2 linked regions of the Neodiprion lecontei genome follow. The main gene of each other region encodes a partner of the protein of the gene in region 2 in a complex. Links are inferred from orthologs where the notes say so. Each region holds a gene or a part of one and is shown on either strand. Other genes may lie near its edges. The genes, in order: WASH complex subunit 1 and WASH complex subunit 5.

Region 1 (10,598 bases), on a different chromosome or scaffold from region 2:
GAGACTCCCAAGTGAACAAACGATAATATTTGTGAGGAAAAAAAAAAAAATAAACAATGTACGCACTTTGAGCATATCAGCAGCTTCCCTACGCCTCACGGCGATGTGTTCGCTCTCATTAAGTAACGACTCAATGTGGTCCGTTTTGTACAGGTGAGTGACCAACTCGCTCTGTAAATTGTCCTTAACGTAATTAACGAGGAAATGCATAACAGCCTTCGGTACGCTGTCCTGAATTGATTTTCTAACTATGTAAAAATACGACTTGATAAGACGCTCTGAAAAGTATAAAATAACATTAATTATTTATAGTTGAACAAAACTGTAGATTAAAAAAAAAAAGACAAAGATCGAACCATTAATCATTCCAGATATCTTACCGATCACATCACAGTCACGTTGCTCACGATCACTAAGCTTCCGAGAAGTTTGCATCGGAACTTCTGGGAGTAGATTTACTGGTTTTTGCTGTGGCGATCCCCGCTGTAAATCCGAAACAGAATTTGGGCTAGGTGTAGGATTAGGAATGGGACTTCCATCCCTATATCTTACTGGAGATCCATCGATGGAATTGCCGCTTGTTGAATCAGACTTTACTTGCGGCAGCAAGTTGCTCAGCAGCCAATGATTTGCTTGTGCCTCTTTACTTTGTTCGTTATTAAATACCGGTGGCTCCTCACGATTGTTGACTGCTTTTTGATTCTGACAAAACATTGTTACCAAAGCTTTTATGTGACGAAAATATTTGATTGATTGTAGTTGATCAGGAAATTTTTCAACTTGCGAGATAAAAAAGACAATATAGGTATGTTCTGAGAACAATAAAATTTTCTCAAAATTCTGTTCAGAAACATTCAATGGTTGATAGAAATAGACGAAAATATAAAATTGTTCAATTTAAACCAAGAATGGATCAACTATTATTGCTCACTTGTTCGGAAGGTAGAATCGTACTGCCTGTAGAAGTATTTGAAGAAGCAGATATATGTCTTTTACTGGGTCTTACTTGATCCGCCTCTGCATTCTTTAATAACGAAGAGACTAGTGCCGCATCTTTGTGAAAATCTGGATGTTTGGTATTGATGTAAGCAAGCTCGATAGCGACCAAATTCTCCACCTTGTAAACAGATTCTCTTGGTTAATTATAACAAGTGCCGAAATAAGCGAAAAACTAGTCGCAACGTCATTACAAATAAGGTAAACCGTTCAGGCAAGTCTAAGTGAAATCGATGTCAATGCTCCATTTTCACAAAACGCAGACCAAAGTTGCGTGTAATGTATTTGAAATATCTTCACCATAGAATTAGTTGTCGGTAATCGTCGGCGTAGAAGATGCGTAACAACGTCGACGATCCGTTCGTGTAGTTTTGGAAAACGAAGCATTTCTTGCTGAACTTCGGTGCCGCAGTGTTGAATGATTCTCTGCATCTCTTCGTGAACTAGTTCGACGCAGCGTAGCGAAGGCTCTTCGAGTCTCCTGATCTGTCGCTTGACCAGGAGTTCAAACGAGACCTCGGGAACAAAGAGAGCCGGTCTGGGACCCGTCGCATTTCGAATTGCAGTCAAAATATCCATCCTAGTTAGACCAGCCAGTGGATGAATGGAATCTAGTGTTCGTCCAAATGTCTCGTGAAATATGTAGCAGATACGAGCACCTCCACAGAGCTCGGTAGTCTCTATATTTCTTGCTGTTCCCTCAATCGTCGAACAGTAACTGCTCGCAAACTTGGTTATTATCTGAAGCAGTGTCTGGCTCTTGTCTCCCACATCCTCTCCGTATGAGTTTAAAAGTGTTTGGAATTGGGAGACCATCACATTCACGCGTGTCTGTTGTTTGAATAAATAATTGTTACATGGCCGAAGGAAGGGACCAGATTTACATGCTCTCCTGACTAACAATTTAGCAAAGGCTTACCTTTAAATCGGGAAGGCAATCGCGAATATGATGCATTAAAAGTCTGTTGAGGGTTTTTGCTAAGTAAGGAGTGCCGTTTCTGTTTGCCAAAGTAGGATATTTTCGTTGCAGGAAGGCAGCTTCGTCCTTAAGAGCTTCCTGGATAGACTTGTTATTCATTATGTCTTGCTGTGAACGATTTACAACTCCTATGATCCCCAGCTTCACAGGAATCACCCGTCCGCACAGGATATCAATCGCATCCGTTCCTCAAACCCAAAATAACAAGCGACTCTCAAGCAGGGTTGTATAAATGAATGATAAAATAATTCCAAGAAAAATATAATTCTTCGGGACAAATTTTCAGATCAAGATTAGCTAATCAAATCAATTCTTAAACTTAACTCCAGTTTAAGAGAGAAAAAAGAAGGATAGAAAGAAATACGTCGCCACAAAATTCAATACATCAGATATCAGTTCAAAGTTACTATTTAGTTGGTCAAATTACCAGCGTCCATTAGATCCAGTTTAGTAACAACTGCGAGGGTTCTCCTTCCATCGGGATCAACGTCTTTGCTGAGTTTGAGGCTCTCGCTGGTCGCCATGTCCGTGTTTGCGGTTACAACGGCCAATATTATGGAATTTGGATTGCAAATGTGTTTCAGAACCAAGTTTCTGATTTGCGCTTCAATATCCTCGGGCTGATCGCCAACGGGGACCTTGGTGATCCCTGGCAAGTCGACGAGTGTCAGATTTACAACCGAGGTTGAATAAACCTTCAGATTAATCGGTTCAGGACAAATTCCCTTGTTGGATCCAGCCATCCGATTCGTTTCAGCCTCAATTTCCAATCTGATATCATCGAAGTTTGTAAATATTTTATTTTTAGTGTGCAAAAATACACCCCACTCGTCAAGGGTCAGCGTCCCATCTTCGGCTGTTCTGTGCTCCCTGTCATCTTTCGGCGCATAAACGAGCTGAAGAATCAACGGCCTACGAGTCACTATACCAGTCCCTCTGGGCAGAAACGAGCGGCCTACCAAACTCTCTATGACGGACGATTTCCCGGAGCTCTGCATACAATGGAAAACATATATTCTCATTTCATTTGTCGGATATTCTTTTCATTCTCAAATGGGATAATGTATGGATAACACAAGGGAATTGGAAGAGGTAATTCATCATAGAAATAAACATTTTCCCAAACTATTTGTGACTGCACAGTTTTCTGGAGTTCTAATTCATAGTAGAAAATTATTCCTGGAATTAGATTCATTTCAATTTATCAACAATTCTGATAACTCTCAACCTCAAGAATAAGTGTTTTCATAGTTTAGCACAGGGATTAAAATTTTTATCTTTGAAAATCATTAGCAATCACTAAATAACTAATACCGGAAGTGGTAATGAAAGAAAAGTAATTTTGGAATGGGATAACGTTTTTTTAAAGTTTCACTTGTATGTTCATTTTAATGATTGTTGAATTGGAAAAATAGTTTTTGCTGGATCCTGTTAAGAAAATTCATATTTGTTGTCATTCACAGATCATGCAATGTAACCTAACAATGAGAATCTAAAAATTGGAGAAATGTTTTATGAAAGTAGGCGTTAAGGTGGACGAATAATTTAGGAGTAAAAATGAAACCAAAGATGGATATAAAATTAAAAAATAGTGTTTTCAAAGAATTGATTTGCAAGATTCCATTAGGAAAAGAAAAAAAATATGTTTTCTTTCATCACTGGTCTCATCAGCAAAAAATAAATTCAACTGTAAGAAAATGCTAAAACTAGTAAAAATCATCGATAAAAATAGAAACTTTTAAACGATAGTAATTTTAATGAGTGAAGTAAAATAATTTTAGTATAATATTCTTCGAATTTGAAATACAATACCTGAAAAAGTCATATCGACGACAAGTAGGATCACAAAGATAAAGGATCAAGGATCCGAGGGCAAGATCGGGCTTTTAAGGAAGAAACGCGAGACTGTCTAAATCAATGGTTTGAAACGTACCGACACATTGTCAATAGTATAGGTGAAATTATAATTAACCTGTGTTCCGAGAACGACGATTTGAGGCAATTGTATGGCGTCAGCACCAACGGTGTTGAATACATCTTGGAGTTTATTTATCACTGGAATGAGGGCCTCCATGATCGACGACGACGAGGTTAAGAGTAGTCGAGGAATACCACGATTTCTGTACAGATTAACGGAGCCTGAAATTCTAGCCACCCGACGAAAATTACAAGCTGAAGAACAATCGGAAGATCGAGGATACTGCGATTCCAACAGTTACGAGCATCTACACCACCTTCAACAAATCCAGCTCGAGCGTATGCAGAGATCGATGGATTATCGTTTTATTTTACAGAAACTAAAACCTAGGCGGTTTCTGCATCGATCGTCGACGAAATCGAAACCTCTCATTAACCCAGCGATACCCTTTTTAACTCACTACTCCCGTTTAATCCACCGGCTGAATTCACTCGGCCAGGAATCGTCAAGCCGCCATCTTTACTCTCCTTAAGGCGGTCGATTGCGAATTGGATCGCGAATGGGTTTTAAGTGCGGCCGTTATTTGAAATTTGAATTTATTACAGACTGCACGAAGCCGCGATTATAATCACGGAAATCAATCTGCGTTCGTATTTTCTTTTCTCATCCTCTTTGCTACGCATGCGATCTTCAGCCGCCTCGCGCTTTGGATTCGATTCGAAACTGGGTAAAGAATTGCAATCTTTGGCCAGTTTTTGACGGACGGAACGGAACCTAACATAACCTAACCTGATAAAGAATTAATGGGCGTAAAGTGGCAGAACTAAGAATGGCAGTCGTTCGCCTATGCAGACGATATGCAGTAGCACTTGTTTTGAGTAGTTTAAACCAGATTTAAATACAACTCGAATGATATGAGAGAGTTTATGGCGATGAGTTAATGGTTCGCGATTGTTGTTAAGTGTCAATACATTTTTCGGGGGAAGGAGCCGGCGTCGGATTGATATTTGAATCAATCGTCGTTTGTTTGTATAAAAATTGACCTTATCGAATCAGGAGAAATGCAGGGGCACATAGAAATTGGTAATAATGATACATTCGGCGTAATTTTTATACATTTCGTGTTATAAATACTCAAACATCAGTCATTCGCATTGTTTTTAATTGATTCGAGAGATAGATGAGATTTCTAAACAAATTCATTCGAACGCAGACCACAGTGTTATGCAAAATAATCTATGATCTTTGGATAGATAACGTTATGAAATCGTATGATTTTTAATCTTTAAATATCAGATGACAATAACAGTCACAATAATATTTATTTAAACAAATAATTATTCTCTCTTCGGCAAGTTTTAATTTTCAGCATCGTGTTTCAGGTGTGATTCCGCATGATTTGCGACAGGAGGAAACCATAGTCCAGATTGCAGAAGCATTAGATTCGCTCAACTCTGCTGTAGCAAGCATATTTAGCTGTATCGACGAGCGGTTATCGGAAAATACAAAAAGGTATTCAAGACAAAGTTGTTTGTGTTCTTTCGTTATGAAATGTAGTTGTGTAGCGCAAATCTGGTCTTCACTCTCAGAGATTGAAGAAAGAATAACTAATTAGCGTTTTCATTTTTCACAAGGTAGAAGAAAAGAACTAATGGTTGGAAAATATACTAAAAAATCTCATCTTTGATACGTTGTTACAGATTAGCCGGTATAAAAGGTCGCGCTGTGAAACTTCAGGGCAGATTAGACCACCTGCAAAATAACCTAAGCTTGAAGGCGGTGAAGCTATACTCTGCAGCAAAATACCCCTCGAATCATGTCTACAGAGAGTATCCGCTGGCTCTAAAACTGCCAATTAAAAAGGAGGATAAACCGCCGAGCGTCTATAAGAGCCCAGTTCCCATAGCGCAGGAGTTGAACTCGCAAAATATCGTCACCGAAAAGTCAAAGGACGGGCGGTGGAACGTTGACATCAACATACAAGACAAGCTGCAATTTTATCACGTCAAAAGTAAAACAAATAAAGGCAAGGGCTCTGGACATTCTAGAGCTATTCCAGTTAGACCAACCTCTGTCAGTTCGCTACTGCTACACGACGCCAAAGACAACCAGTATGGTAAACTTCCCGCAAAAAGCCTGGCATCGGCTAATGACAAGAGGGAAATCGAAGATGCTCCTACTTCGATATTGCAGTCATGGCACACCAATGATCTAGAATCTCCATCAAATTACTTCTATGCTCCAACGTTAGGCGAAGTACGTTTTTTAAGATTTATACCAACAAGGGCTTTTAGTTTGAAAGATATAAAATTTCTTGAATATTTTCTCTATTTTTTTAACTGATCGAGGTTTGAAATTTGAAAGAAATTCGTAACTGTTCTAGAACATGCTACTACTTTCAATACAAGGGTACCGACTATCAAATCTTATGAAACTGCATTTTTTCAGTGGATATTACAAACATACTGTAAACTCATCACTTCGGTACTTTAGATTTGAAAAGAAAAAATTATGAGTACAAAGAAGTTGAATGCTCAGATCAAACAGATTTACTTTTCACTTTCACACTTCACTAACAACTTAAATTTGGTATGAGAACTAGATCTAGTTTGTATTATTCAATTGATGATAGATACCACATGATCAATGTTTAAAACTTCAAAACTAGCACAGCGTTTATGAAGAATTGATTGTACGATTATACCATTTGTGTTTTCAGGTTCCACAGATAAACGTACCTCTCAGTCTCCCAGACCTGCCAGGAATAGTTGATGACGAACGTTTTGTGCTTGACCTACACAGTCAGAGTCCAATTGCTCCATCTTCGGTGGTAACAACACCGACTGTGAACCTGCCCTTACCAGCAGCTCCGTCTGATTCTGCCCCCGACGCAACTATGGAACCTCAAAACAGTAGAGAAAATGAACCTAGCCTTCCAAATTTGAGCCTACCAAGCATATCATCGGAGCAAAATCCTCCACCACCTCTACCTCCGGTTGAGATCGGTAACGTTTCTCATCCTGGGCCACCACCGCCTCCTCCTCCCAATCCCTCCACACTTTCAATCTCGACATCTCAACCACCACCTTCTGCTCCTGCTCCTCCTCCTCCTCCGCCTCCTCCTTCACTTGTCGAACCTCCAAAATTGTCATCATCGGTTACGAAAGACACTAAAACACAGTCTGTTAAATCTGTTCCAAATGTCGATCAGGTCGATAATCGGTCTAGCCTAATGGCAGCTATCCGCGACGCGGGCGGAGTTGGTAGAGCAAAATTAAGGAGTGCAGCACGTAAGGATGAAAATACAGATAAATGGTCTTCTGCTTTCGTTGGGGGCGATTTAATGGCAGATTTACACAACAAATTATCACTCAGACGTAGAGGTATTTCTGGAACAGCTACCGGCGCATTGGGCAGAATGTCCGCTATGATTCCTCCACCTCCGAAACCAAACGAGTCCGCTACTTCGGAGCGAAATTCTGCCGCAAGTGAACAAGACTCGCAACCTGATACCGATGATTGGGAGGAATGATAGACTAAGATTGCTACTTGAAACTTCCTTTTTCGCTGTATAAAAACATACACAGAGAGTGATAAAATATATATTCCAACAATAACGATAAAAAGAAAAAAGAAAATGTCTTCTTTGCTGTCGTGTACATAATTCAATCAGTTGTTATAGCCGTAATTTCTGAATTAATTTCACGCAATTTCAACTAAAAGCTGGTCAGTATTAACAATTACAGTACTTGATGTATTGGTAAATCGATACAAGAAAAGGTCAACAATAATAAAAATATTGGTACAAAATTCATCGCATATCTATAATAAGTTTCATATCCTATATCAAATGTACATTGTTATTCGTAAGATATGCAATGAAGTAAAACAACTTTGAATATTGATTAACCGTAAAGAATTGTAGATCTTTAATTTTGTGGGCAGGTTACGATATTGGTATCATGATATTCGTAGTATCTGTCAGCAATTAGATTAGATAAAACCAGCCATCTCTACTTTCACGCAATCTACTGGAGTCTATGATTGTAGAAAAATCTCTATTCTATGTCTTATTCAATGAAACAATAATGACAACTACGACAATGATCAATTAATAAGAATTCAGCACTGCTCAGCAATGCAATATTATAACTTTGAACGTTTTAAGTCATCATTTTGCTTATCTACTCAGCAACAGGACTTTTAGAAATTAAACAATTTGCAATGTGCTTGGCCACTTTTTACATCACTTACTTATTTTTTTTTTTTTTCCAAGAGTTAAATAAAAATGTTCAATCGCTAACAACATTCCACACTGAAGAATGTTTCGATTTTAAAAATGGGGGGTTGGGCCGACTTTATGGCGGTTATAAAATGCGTGTATAAAATTGTAAAATCATTTCGATTAATATCCGTAATACTTATCGATAGAGCAGTTCTTCACAATATTCATATACTTATTCTTAACTAATAATATATATAATATTATATACTGTATAAGATTCTTCAGTTAGTAAAGGCAGTTTTTCAAAAATTATAACACCGACGAGGGTGTGAAAATAGGTGATCCAGTAATCGTTATAAATTCGGAGCTGCCAAATTGAGGAAATTCATCGCCACTTCAAAGCCGGCAAAACAAGCTGCGTTTGCAGGGAATGCTCTGAGCATTACAGGAGCACATCCTTTGTAAAGTGCACGAGGTCCCTCTTCCTTCATCAGTTGAGTGAATACAGAACGAATTCCATTTTTGTATGTGCCTTCCGGTGCTTTAGAAAAATTAGAAACACACGTTAAAACCTTCACCCCCTAGTTGAACGATGAAGAAGAATAAACGATTGCTTGCGTATCACTGGACATGGCAGTAATTTAGTCATAATTCGTTGGCTCGTTCACCTACCAGTTTGCAGTCTACTTTTTAATACATCTGGGGGTATCGCTACGATCCAATTTGCAATTCCAGCCATACCACCGGCAAAAATAGTCGACACAACACCCAATTTTCCACCATCAGGTGTCAACCATCTCTGAAGCAATTCGTACATCATGAAATACACTCCACTGGCCGGTACGTCTGTAATGATAGAGGAATAAGACAAAGAGTCGAATAAATGCGTATGCCCGAAGTTTAGGGGTGGCGTATTGTTATTCGCGATGGGTGTGCTTGTTGTGTTTGCTATTATTAATATAACTTAGTAACTTTCAAATTGGAAATCACACCGTAATTAATAATATTGTAGAACGTGCGTGGGTCGATAGATAACTGACATCCTGCCCGGATATGGGACAAACAATCTGACAGATAAATACAAACGAAATTCAGTTTCTCTCCAGCTAGCTTCTCTTTCGGAAATCTAATTGTTCCTCCTTGTCGTCTGACCACGGTTACACGCCACATCTTTTGCTATTCTATACGTTTTACTATCATGAAGATCGTCACGCTGTTTTTATGGCCAGTTTTAATCCCGGTTCGTGATCATCGCTTTGTGCAATAATTTCTACTCTCAGAGTTTTTCTCGTTTTTCTTTTTTTTTTTTCGATCTTTCAGAATAAAGTTAGCAGAATAAACTAATTCATTATTAAACGCGTTTGATTGTTGAATCATTAATTTTGGACAATTTTAGTTCGGAAGGAGATAGTGTTTTTGTTCGTGTTTTATTTTTATTTATTTTTTTAACAATTTTGACAACAGCTCGCGATATGCATCAGAGCTTCTGGTTTCCTACATAATTATATCTCTTGCTCATTTTCCTCAAGACTCAATGAATGTATTGAATATGTTCATGATTTTATTCAGGCTTGGTGTTTTGGACAGATAATAGACATCGGTGGAATATGGGAGATACAATGTCCTCATGTATGCAATTGTCAGATAGCAAAGTTCTATGATTTGCCTTTGTATCGGTGGGCCAACATGAACACGAATAATCAAGAGGTAAATGAGTTGGGTTATTTAGCTGTAACAAGACGTAATAAGTTTGTGAAAATAGATTGTTTGTTTTTTTTTTCTCGTCAAATTAGACCATAATTTTTCAATAAATCAATAAATCTTCAAAAGGTTAATTACGAGAAGCACGTTACATTTTGATTTGACAATACTCCATGGTTGTATTAATTCCGCAGGATTTAGAACCGGAGGTGAATTATTATCAAAGTTTGAACAATGACGAACCAATGGCAACCGAGTTGTTGAAAGTAGCCACGTGTGTGCTGACAAAGGACGCAAAGCAGTTGCTGGAATCTCTTCCGATAGATTTGCAGGTTTGAATGATTATTCGAGTATCGCTGACTGGCTGTTCCAACTTTCACTAATGGACAATGATAAAAATTTCAGGTATTGACTATTCTAGAATCTGGAGACGGAGACAAAGAAATCCGGTTGAGTTCCACCGACACTAATCGTTTCACCGATTTGATATCCTTGGATATCCAAGGAATGGGGTACAACGACAGACTCAGAAATTCTGGCGGGAAGCTCAAATTAACCAATAAAAGATATGGAATAGTTCTAGATGTGGACGCGTTGCTTCCGCTCGGTCCGACGCTTCGCTACCTCAATTTAGAACGCGTGAGGCTCGCGAGTAAAAGTACGTTCAATAAAGGTCAAGTGAACTTGGTCGTCAAGCCGGTAAGTCATGCGAGCAATGAACACGAGGATCAAGATTCTGGACCAGAAGGTGAAGTTGTCAACCAGAATGGCTTAAGATT
Region 2 (10,198 bases):
AAACATTCAAAAACATACTGCGCTGGTCTAACTTGTACCTTTTTCTTCTAAAACTGTAATTCTTCTCAAAAATTTTCCTCTTCCAGATTTTTTCTCGTATTTATGACTTATATTTATACATACAAACTACACGATCACATTCTAAGATAGTGAAATTACATCTCTGAATTTTTTGAGGTAGATTGGACTCATACATTCGACAGGTAACACGTCAAAAATGGAACAGGGTCATTTTGAACCAGAGTGTTCTTCATAATCCAAAAAATAAGTTAGTTGTCGAATGGTTAAAGTTAATATAGTGACGGTAAGTAAAAATTATCTCTCCGTAGATATGGTGCTGACCTGAACTTGCCAAAACGTCTTTGGGATAGCAATAGCCACATAGGTCAACCTGCGTCATCCAGCAGTAGATAAGAACACGAAATATCAAAACGCGTGCGTTAATTAGCGGTAGGCAAACATCAAATCGAAAGACTGGACTTAAAAATCAGCTGCAATAATGTTTAACAGTTAGAGAACAGTGCTATGAGACGGTTAACGTAGAGTATATGTGCCAAACGTTAAACGAGAAACCTGCAAGTGAGATATTTTCACATGGTTCATAGGCACAAATGGCCTCGACGAAGAAAAATTTAAGGTATAAACAAGAAAAACGTACAAGTGCTTAACGTTTAAATGAGGTTTTACTGTATCAGTAAACAGTAAATAGAAAATGTGGAATTTTTGACAAGAAGTTAAAAAATAATTGAACTCAATGGGAACTGCAGTTGAGATATGGATTCAAGGTTAAGAAAAAAAACCTCATTTCACCAATAACATGGTTCTTACTTTTTGACCGTGTGTGTGTCAATTTTCAGTGGACATAATTCACAACGTTTTTACGATTTTTTTTTAGAAATTATCAATGCGAAATATTACCATTTTTTACTAATAAAATGAGTATTGAGCAATATCAGGAAGTGAGAATAATACCTTCGAAAAAAGGGGTTTCAATTTGGTAACCATCGGTGGATCCTTTTTAATACACTCCTGCATGATGCTTATGAAAGACTCCATAATGTTCCATGCGTAGCTACAGTCTGTTACGATGTTTAAGGCGATCATTACATCCTCAGTTATGCTACTGGTGCGAAGCATACGCTGCAGTATATCACGAGTGTCAGCGAGGTACTGAGATATATGTAGATTATGCTCCAATTGATGAAACTCTGTAAGTTTATGTTACAACAATCTCTGAACAATTAACAAAAAACCATAGACAATCAACTTGCCTTGAACTTCTTCCAGGGCCTGAAACAGCTGCACTATCTTTCTTCCCTCGTCTTGCTGTAGGGAATCAACGTGTTTTCCTATCTCTTTGAACCATATCTGCAAGCATTCGTTCTTTTCTACCCCATCTAGCGGCCTGTTTCCACTGAACACTTCTGCCAAACCAGAAATACGTTCAACGCAAATCTCTTTGTGACGAGTCCAAATTGTTTCTTTGTCAGTCAGCAGCTGCGTAGGTGTTCAAGTATAGTTAGTATTAAAACAAAATGTAAAGATAACAAAGTGACTATCTGACAAAGCAGTTAAGGCAACTAATTTTTTCATGATGCGCTTTCTTTAAAACTCTACATTAGTATTACAGTGTCTAAGTATAAGGAAATGGATGGAGGAAATGGCACCAGCTGCAGTATATCTATTCGCTTCAATCTCACCTTGCATTGCATAAAATAATGCTGTGTAGAAAATTAATACTCACTAAAAGAACATTGAATTTACTGGATATTTCAATTTTTTAAAAGCCGAGGCCAGAGTTTATAACCACAAATCTACTTAAGAACCCCAGCATCTGCTGTGCTTAAACCGAATAGACAAACTGTAAAGTTGGACATCTTCAAAGTGAAAAGATTCACAAGTAGAATAAATATGACCTAGCAAATCCTTCCGTACAATTTCATTATCCTCGAATGCCTTTAAAATATCATTTCACACCTACTTAGTTTATTTGGGAAATTTATTTTCAATCTGACTTCACTTCACTCTATTGTACAATGTACAACATTTCAAAGATGCTGAATGTTCCACTAAGTAGAAGTAGACTGGTGTAAAATAAAGTGCAGGATGAAAATTATAACTGAGATATTTCATTTCTTCAATAACCATTATTTGAAATAATACGCGCCATTAACATGTCTCACCTGTTTGTACATCTGTTTAACATCTTGCTCTAGTTGAGCAGTATTAAGCAAAAGCCAGAGACATTCAATGGCGATGTATTTGGATTCCTGTATAACGAGTTGGCGGATACTCCGCGATCGTTTGGATCCTTCGCTGAACATACCAGGCATTGAGGTGTGGAGAAGGATCCAATGAAGAGTAACATTACAGTCACGAACAAGCTTGACAGTATTTCCGATTGCATTTTCCTCCACTCTTTTGGTTAATTGGAATTCTTTGGTATCGGCTACCTGTTTCTGAAAATCACAGGTAGAAACTTACTCAACATTTTTTGTTAGCATTGAATTTTGTTAGAAGAATAACGTACAGACATCGTATGCATACCTTTAACTTCTGCCCATACTTTTGAGCAATTTGTTTCACGTTTGAAACCTCAAACGTGTTATTGAGAGCATTTTTTGCAGCTTTATATGGCTCCCACCAGTCCCACAAGTTCAGGACTAGCCCCATGTATATACTGATCACCCAATTATCCGGAAAAAATCTATCGACTGTTTCTCTCATTATCGAAGTTTGAGAGTGAAGCGTAGACGGGCTGAAGGCTAGAGCCACGACTAGCATAGCAGCCTGACTGGCTAGCGCCATGCTCCGATGTTCTGGATAAGGAAAAGCCAGACTTTGATTGTATATTTCGTCCGAGCGAAGGCGACTTATTACGAGATCAACAAGAAGAGTGTTGAGCGGAATTCGTCTGTATACGAAAAAATTATTTTGTGAGTTTTTAACCTAGAATTTTGTGAATGTTCAATTCAAATCAAAGAGGGAAAATATTACTTAAAATATGCTTCCGGATAGTTTGCAGGGCGTTTGAAAGGTGCATTGCTAAATCCTGTTGATCTGAGTAGGACACAAACATCATCTACCCTTGTCGTTGATATATGCTGTACATTGTATCGGTAGTAGGAAACAAGCAGCCGTTCTCGAATTGGTCCTTCGAAGTGCAGATCAACCAACAAAAGCATGACTCCGTACAAATACACTGCCTCACACTGCGATACAAGGACGATTTCAATATTATTGCTCAGTTTGCTACATCATGTACGATCATGAGTGGGAAAGCAAATAGTTTTTGAAATTTTTTATCAGGGATTACGAAAGGTTTGAATTTTTATATTCTTGATCTTTGTCTGGCTGTTTATTGCGGGCAACCAACTGCGTCCAGGAATGAAAAACATCGCTCGTTTCGTGAAATTCGGAATTAACAGAAACTTTTGCTTTCAACAATTTACTGTATCAGATATTTCTATGTGAAACAGATGTGAGTTCAAAGTAATTTCTGCAATCCTGCTTTCGTCTTTCATATTCGATATATGAATTACTACTTTTTTCTCAAGTAAATCATGGAATTTTAGTTGTAGAAAAGAGATCAGAATAAATATTTTGTATAAAGATTGTTATATTATTACAAACTATGATCAATTTTAGACACTCAAAAGATTCTCCGACTTCTCTAGTAAACAGGAAATTTCTTTGAAGTGGGATAGCTTAAAAAGTCGTTTTTGATTTCTTTGTTCTGAAGAGAATTTCAAAAAAAGAACATGCTATAATAATCTGATGAAGTGAAGTTGTTTGCAAATCGAGTCATAACACATTCAAAAAATTGTAGCGCAGTTTGAAAAAGTTGACACAGCTGAAAGCTGTTCAGCATAGTATCCATTGGAATTAACATTCTTAATCACCAGGAATAATTCCTCCATCATTCCAAAATGTCACATGAAAATATGCTTCAGACAAAATTAAATCACATATGTTTTAAAAATAATATTCAGAATTGAGTTCATGCAGCAATATAACCTTGCTTTGGAATACAGCAGAAAGCTAACGACTATTGGAACTTAAATTACATTATATCTCTAATGAGTAAGCATCTTTTTTGCAAATATTTTTAAATAAAATTCTCTCCTTTTTTGCGACCACTATCCGCATATTTGGTTGATTAACTTCCTTAATATCGAGTAAACAAAGCTGACCAGACACATACAATATGTCCATACCATCAACTGCTTTCCTTCTTCACTGAGCATTATTGTTTCGATAGATTGCTGTATGTATATTCCATCCTCCAATTCTTCGGTAAAAGCATTCAAATCGGTAACATACTTGTGAATGCTTTCAAAAGCCAAATAAAATCTAGTCAGAATATCTGAAAATGTATCACGCATCTCTTCGTCCAGTTCCTGCGATACCTGGGTTTGTCAGACCATTTGGTTAGTGAGTAAACTATTATATTCTGATATAATACATCCATCTATAGCTTCGATTACAATTTTGACTCACAGAATCGTTTTCTATTTTATGCTCATACGCATCGGCAGCCTTGAAATAGGAGAAGTCCAAGATGATTTGGCTGTAACGTTGATCCGCCTGCCTATAAATTGGTGTAAGGGACAAGTTATGATAGTGAGATTGACGGACGTTTATAGAATAATGAATACCTCATTTGCAGTTTGACACCTCAGTGAGAACTTAATGTGGATGTATTATTTATGTGAATTGGAAATTGCTGAAGGTGTTCCATATGAGCATGACCATCGTGATATCGTTTTACATGCATATGCAGAATGACGATATGAGAATGAAGAGGTATAAACGAACAGAGAATACTAACCTAAAAATTGGCGGCACGTAATCCTTTAGCCGCATCAATTCAGCTATAATAGCATTTCCACGCGAAACAAGCTGTAAAATATTCTGGCCGCATCCGTTATTCAATGCCAGAAAGTCCCCCATTTTAGAGACAGGTTAATCTGTTGAACCTTTTGACGAGACACTCCACTTACAATTAAATAGACCACGTCAAAACATTAGTTTTCTGCTTTGCGGACTCATTGCAGCAAAGTCGGATAGAGTGCGTGAGCATGATTGCATTGTTGCAGGCGTTATAGATGCAAACTGTCCGCCTTATTAGCGACCTATTAATATACCTCGGGATATTCAAATACATTAATTATAACCTTAATTATAACTTACCGACTCATGTCTCAAATTCAACGTCAAAATGAACTTAGCCGACGTTGCGAGATTTTTCAGCTAACAAATTTTGCATTTTGCTGATTTATTTTCAAAATCACGTGCACTTACTTCAAATTTTGATTGCTGTTTTATTAGTACTAAGATCTTTACCTAAGAATTTGGAATCCCTTTAGATTTGCTGACCTTTTAAATTATCTCTTACAACTATTATTGACGCGGCTGAAGCTATCAACCAGAATTAGCAACCAAACGTTCTAATATTCATTCAAATAAGGTAATAAAGTGCAATAATCGAAATTTTTTTAAAACGTTGAACCCCCAATACTTTTATAGAATTATGAGGATAAAACTGAACTGCATGTTTCTATTTCGAAAAAAGTTTAACACCTCCATTAAAATTTGCTTTATAATAGTCAAAATATAATATGACAGAGCAAAATGAAATGAAGAGGAAAATATTTCAAATTAGACGCAGGTTGTAGTTTGTACAATAAAATTCGATTCTGGCGATAATTTTACTATCTTAAGAACTAATCTCAAATCCAACGCAGTAAATAAAACTAACAATGGGTGCTGATCAAAATATCAGGTCGAAGTTTGAGAACTTGAGGCCATTTCTTTGTAATTTCCATCGTCAAGTATAGTATAGTATAACCTGACTTTCGTTAACAATTTTTGACTTCAACCCAGTTCTGTTACAGCTAACAATAAGTGTAACGAGTTCTCTTAATTTCACCAGATTTTATTTAGAACTAATTGAATTCTCTGTGTCTGGAAGTCAGTACTATTTAAGTACTAGTTAAGAAAACGCTAAAACGATCGTTATGCATGTACGAAAATAATAATAACGAGTTATTCAGTCAAACTCTCCTTTCGGAGTTTTATAGGTACATATTTGTTTTAGCCACCATACATAATCCTACTTTTTCATCATATGACAATGTTCAATAAAAATCTGAATGCATAAATCCTTGCCGTATTTCATTTCTGCTCCCAACCACCCTGTAGATGCAATTATCTATGTAACCAGCTGCCTTAGATCACAAAAACTTCTCCAGTTTTTCATTTTGTTCTTCAATTTCTTTCGTTGATCTATAATTATTTTTTCTTCTGAGCGCATTTCGTATCCCATTTCTCATTGGGGTGCGCTAAAAATCGGTACTATAGTCTTCCCTTATCTCTCAAGCATCCAGTTAAACGCTTCCTTTAGGTACGTATATCGAGAATTATCAAGTTGCTTGTTATAAAAATGGCGCTTGCCCTCCCACCTGTCCATCCGACCCGCGCTAACACGCACAAGGCATTCTGTGCTATTCCTCGAATACTTCTTCCAATTGTGAACTCGAGTCTCGTCTTCAGTGATGTGTCCAGTTTCTGTTTAACTTTCTGACCTCTCGGTGAACTCTGCCAACTCTGCCATTTGATCCCGTAATGCAGTAATTTCGTCCCTTATCTACTGCATCGTGGTCAACATCTGCCTAAGCATTGAGACATTTATTTGCAAACCGAACACCTTTCTGACCGACACATTTTTGATTCAGCTGAATTTTTTTTACTGGTTTTACATCGAAAAAAAGAGATACGTATTCGAGGATTTTTTTTTCACATATTTTAGAAAATAGATGGGGTCGAAAATTTGAGAATCTGGTGATTTTCGGCGGGGAGACTCATTTTAAAAAATTCATAGCTCCAGTTCTATTTGAGCTAGATAGTTCTCTTTTTCATTTTAAAGCTAAAAGAATGAAATGTAATAAAAACATAGGTTCATTGAAAATTATTAATAAATGCATATTGTTATAAATAATTAAAATGTTTAAATCGATCTTTAACTCACCTCGTAGCGAGTTCTTAGTATAACCTTCGTATTCTACGTCAAATTCTTGATCAAAAAAGCATTTTTGAATGATGGAGAAATTATTGTTACTGTTGAAAAAAAATTAATTTATCTACCGCGGCACATTATATCGGCGCGCGGATTCCATTGCACGCCTCATTTTCTTGCCTCGTATCGTTTTTCTCTGTAATATAAATATAAATGATTATTCTATATTGTTGATAAAATAATATTATTTATTAGTAAATAAGACTTTATAAAAGATTGAACAAAAAAATAAAGACAATTTTTTTTTTATCTTTTTAATTCTGAAAAAAAATCATACCTTGAAAACCAGATCCCGGCCCATGATGAATTTTACACAAGTTTTTGAACAGTAAGAAAGGAATATGCTCTGAAATTTTTGTCGAAAGAAATTATGCCGCTTTTGAGAAATCTCAGAAACTAATATTCTTTGAGCTTTTACGGGGTTTCAGCGGCCACGATACCTTTTGCATAATTTAGCGCTGAAGTTCACTCAAAACTGAAACTTTTTCATATGCAACTTTTTTTTATACAATCAATAGCTTACGAGTAATACTTAATTACACTTCGGACGTTTCCGATTTCCGCAGATATTATACCGAATGCTAACGTCTAATAATAAGTGTTATGGAGTAAAAATCTAAAAAAAATCACAAACACTCTCGACAAGTAACAGAAAGTTTTCACGAATTTTAAACAGATTCGAAGAGACTTTTCCGCAGGTCAATCTGACGTGGAAAGCCACATATATATTATATATTGTTCTTCTTTGCTAATAAATAATATTGTTTAATTAAAAATATAGAATTAGCATTTATATTGCATATACAAACGATACGAAGCAAGAAAATGAGGCGTGCAATGGAATCCGCGCGGCGATGTGACGTGCCGCGCTAGATAAATTAATTTTTTTCCAATAGTAATAACAATTTATCCATCAACTAAAAATGCCTTTTTGATCGAAAATTTTACGTGGAATACGATGTTTATACTAAGAGCGCGCTACGCGGTGGGATGAATTGTTAAAAATCGAGTTAAACATTTTAATTGTTTATAACAATATAAATTTGCTGATAATTTTCAACGAAACTGTTTTTTCATCGAAATTCAGTCTTTTCACGTTAAATCGGCCGTTTTAACTCCGAAAATTATGAAACAAATCATAAATCTAACAGAACATATCTGCGCACATATCAAGGATTTTTTCAGATTTTTCGGTAGCAAACTCGAGCGTCTGAAAATTCTTGAACATTTGTATGAGTGGTGTATATATGACAGTTCAGGACCACACAATGGCGCGCATCCTCCTAGCTCCCCCCCTAGCCCCCCGTTCCCCTAAATCCGCGGTGCTGCCCCCTCCCCTAAAACCGCGGCGCTACCCCCCCAGGATTTGACACACACACACACACAAAATAATTCCTGTCGAGATTTGTTTGGCGCCGGAAAGCCGTGCATAAATCGGATAGGGTAAAAACCCGCTAGATCTATTGAAAAAATTCCAGGAAATGACCCCTGAAGGAAGGTTTAAAATGGCGTTTTGAATGCTTTTAACAATTTTTTTATTCAACATCAATTACACTTAGTTTTCTTATTCTATTCTAAATTATCTTATTCTAAATTTTAACGAGTGAAATTATACATACATAATATTTTCAATATCCATATTAATTGAACATATTATTATTCCAAAACTGACTTATACCAATTTTTTTACAGTACCACTAATCGGATTATATTCAACAATGCGGTCATGCAAGATCATGCAGTAGGCAGAAGTGTGTGGTGGGAACGTGATGCTAGAGTCAAATTCCAATCAAATGTCCACAGGTCCAATTTTTAATGTTTTGTCCTGCTTGGAGCAATCGATGACGATAAGGGGAGCTTGGTTTATAAATTCACGCTTCGATAGCAAAGGCTCAGCTTCTGTGGTTTTTGTGGAACGCATGCGCCTTACTTCCAAAATTTGAGTGCGGTCAATCGCGACGTCCAGAACAGTCTGGTCATGATCGTTTACATGACCTTCAGGGAGGCCCGTGATAATGAGATCAGAGGCGTGTAGAGCGCATTCCAGCTGTGTAACACGGTCAAGAGCTCGGGTATCCAGGGGCGGTACACCTGTGGGAGAAGGACGCTGCTCAATTTCACCTGCACGCCGAGACAAGGTGTCAACTGATTCGGACAGTGAGGCTGTAGTTCCTTCGATGTTATCTAGTCGGTTCGAGACAGAATGCAGCCTTACCAGACAATCGCGAACATCGGAGTGGAATTCGTCGAAATCGGAAACTTGTTCTTTAATGGATGCTATATCCCCGAAAACATTTTCGATTTTGTCGAGCTTCTCCGATAATTTTGGAATGACTTTGATAGTGGATTCAATGCCCACAAGCTTATTAGTGAGAGAGGTGATTAGATTTGAGAACACAGCTATTTGATTACTAAGAGCCGGTATGTCACGCTCTTCGGATGTATTAGGGGGACCGTCTGAGACACTAGACACACTGGTTGACCGTTTTCGGCACGAAAAGCAGGTAACACCGGAGGCCGGAGGTAGTACAGACACGGACGAGATCCCGAGTTTGCACCCAAGGCATTCCCCATGGACGCCATGCGTCTCCACCAAGCACAAACGTACGATGTTATCCGTCCCAAAAAACTTCGAGCAGATTCCACAGTTGACAGCTGGCGTATTGCTGTATACACACAGCGGTAAGCGTATACACAGCGGAGGAGTACGAGAGGTTCGAGCGAGACGTATGGTGCACACACTCACAGTGGCAGAAGCTCACGAACGGAGAGGCAAACGCACACGTAGAGAGAGAAGCACGAAAATAAGATATAGCGAGTCCAAAGTTCAAATAGGAGTGAGACGGTCAGATAGTGTAGATGTGTATAACAGTAGATTATTATAGCACAGACCGTTAATAGACGGCTAAACAATAATACACAACACACCTATATCGGATAGTCTTCTACACACAAACAGTCAGCGTCGTAACAACATCAATGGCCCGTTGAAATGCCACAAATTATACGAAGATGTTTAGTTGCAGAAATTATGTAAAACTGCACTGCGTAGGGTCAAGAAATCTACGCAGTTGAAACACACAGACTCCAACCACCGAATGGTACACGCCGCGAATTTTT

Evidence for each region.
Region 1: WASH complex subunit 5 (region 2) and WASH complex subunit 1 share a complex: the UniProt entries of both Drosophila melanogaster proteins name them as parts of the WASH complex. The link is inferred for Neodiprion lecontei from reciprocal best matches to the Drosophila melanogaster genes Strump and wash.

Annotation. Positions count from the first base shown.
Region 1 is NC_060264.1:30,290,512-30,301,109, reverse strand, and holds WASH complex subunit 1, read left to right. Parts: upstream 1-4,505; 5' UTR 4,506-4,574; coding exon 4,575-4,620; intron 4,621-4,712; exon of another isoform or gene 4,713-4,954; coding exon of another isoform or gene 4,955-4,976; intron 4,977-5,275; coding exon 5,276-5,405; intron 5,406-5,593; coding exon 5,594-6,149; intron 6,150-6,612; coding exon 6,613-7,425; 3' UTR 7,426-7,707; downstream 7,708-10,598. Other genes in the region: dynamin-1-like protein, read right to left, coding at 67-278, 381-702, 932-1,117, 1,297-1,827, 1,916-2,163, 2,403-2,967, 3,948-4,049; carboxypeptidase N subunit 2-like, read left to right, coding at 9,317-9,358, 9,688-9,825, 10,014-10,151, 10,225-10,598; congested-like trachea protein, read right to left, coding at 8,472-8,659, 8,791-8,964. UniProt on the Drosophila melanogaster protein: Acts as a nucleation-promoting factor by activating the Arp2/3 complex to induce actin polymerization. Participates in both linear- and branched-actin networks.
Region 2 is NC_060261.1:22,756,674-22,766,871, reverse strand, and holds the start of WASH complex subunit 5, read right to left. Parts: upstream 5,048-10,198; 5' UTR 4,954-5,047; coding exon 4,832-4,953; intron 4,592-4,831; coding exon 4,501-4,591; intron 4,410-4,500; coding exon 4,218-4,409; intron 3,213-4,217; coding exon 2,998-3,212; intron 2,915-2,997; coding exon 2,548-2,914; intron 2,460-2,547; coding exon 2,184-2,459; intron 1,498-2,183; coding exon 1,272-1,497; intron 1,209-1,271; coding exon 973-1,208; intron 970-972; exon of another isoform or gene 896-969; intron 638-895; exon of another isoform or gene 199-637; intron 1-198. Other genes in the region: uncharacterized protein LOC124293002, read right to left, coding at 8,868-9,552. UniProt on the Drosophila melanogaster protein: Acts at least in part as component of the WASH complex which may regulate wash nucleation-promoting factor (NPF) activity and is required for its membrane targeting during endosomal sorting.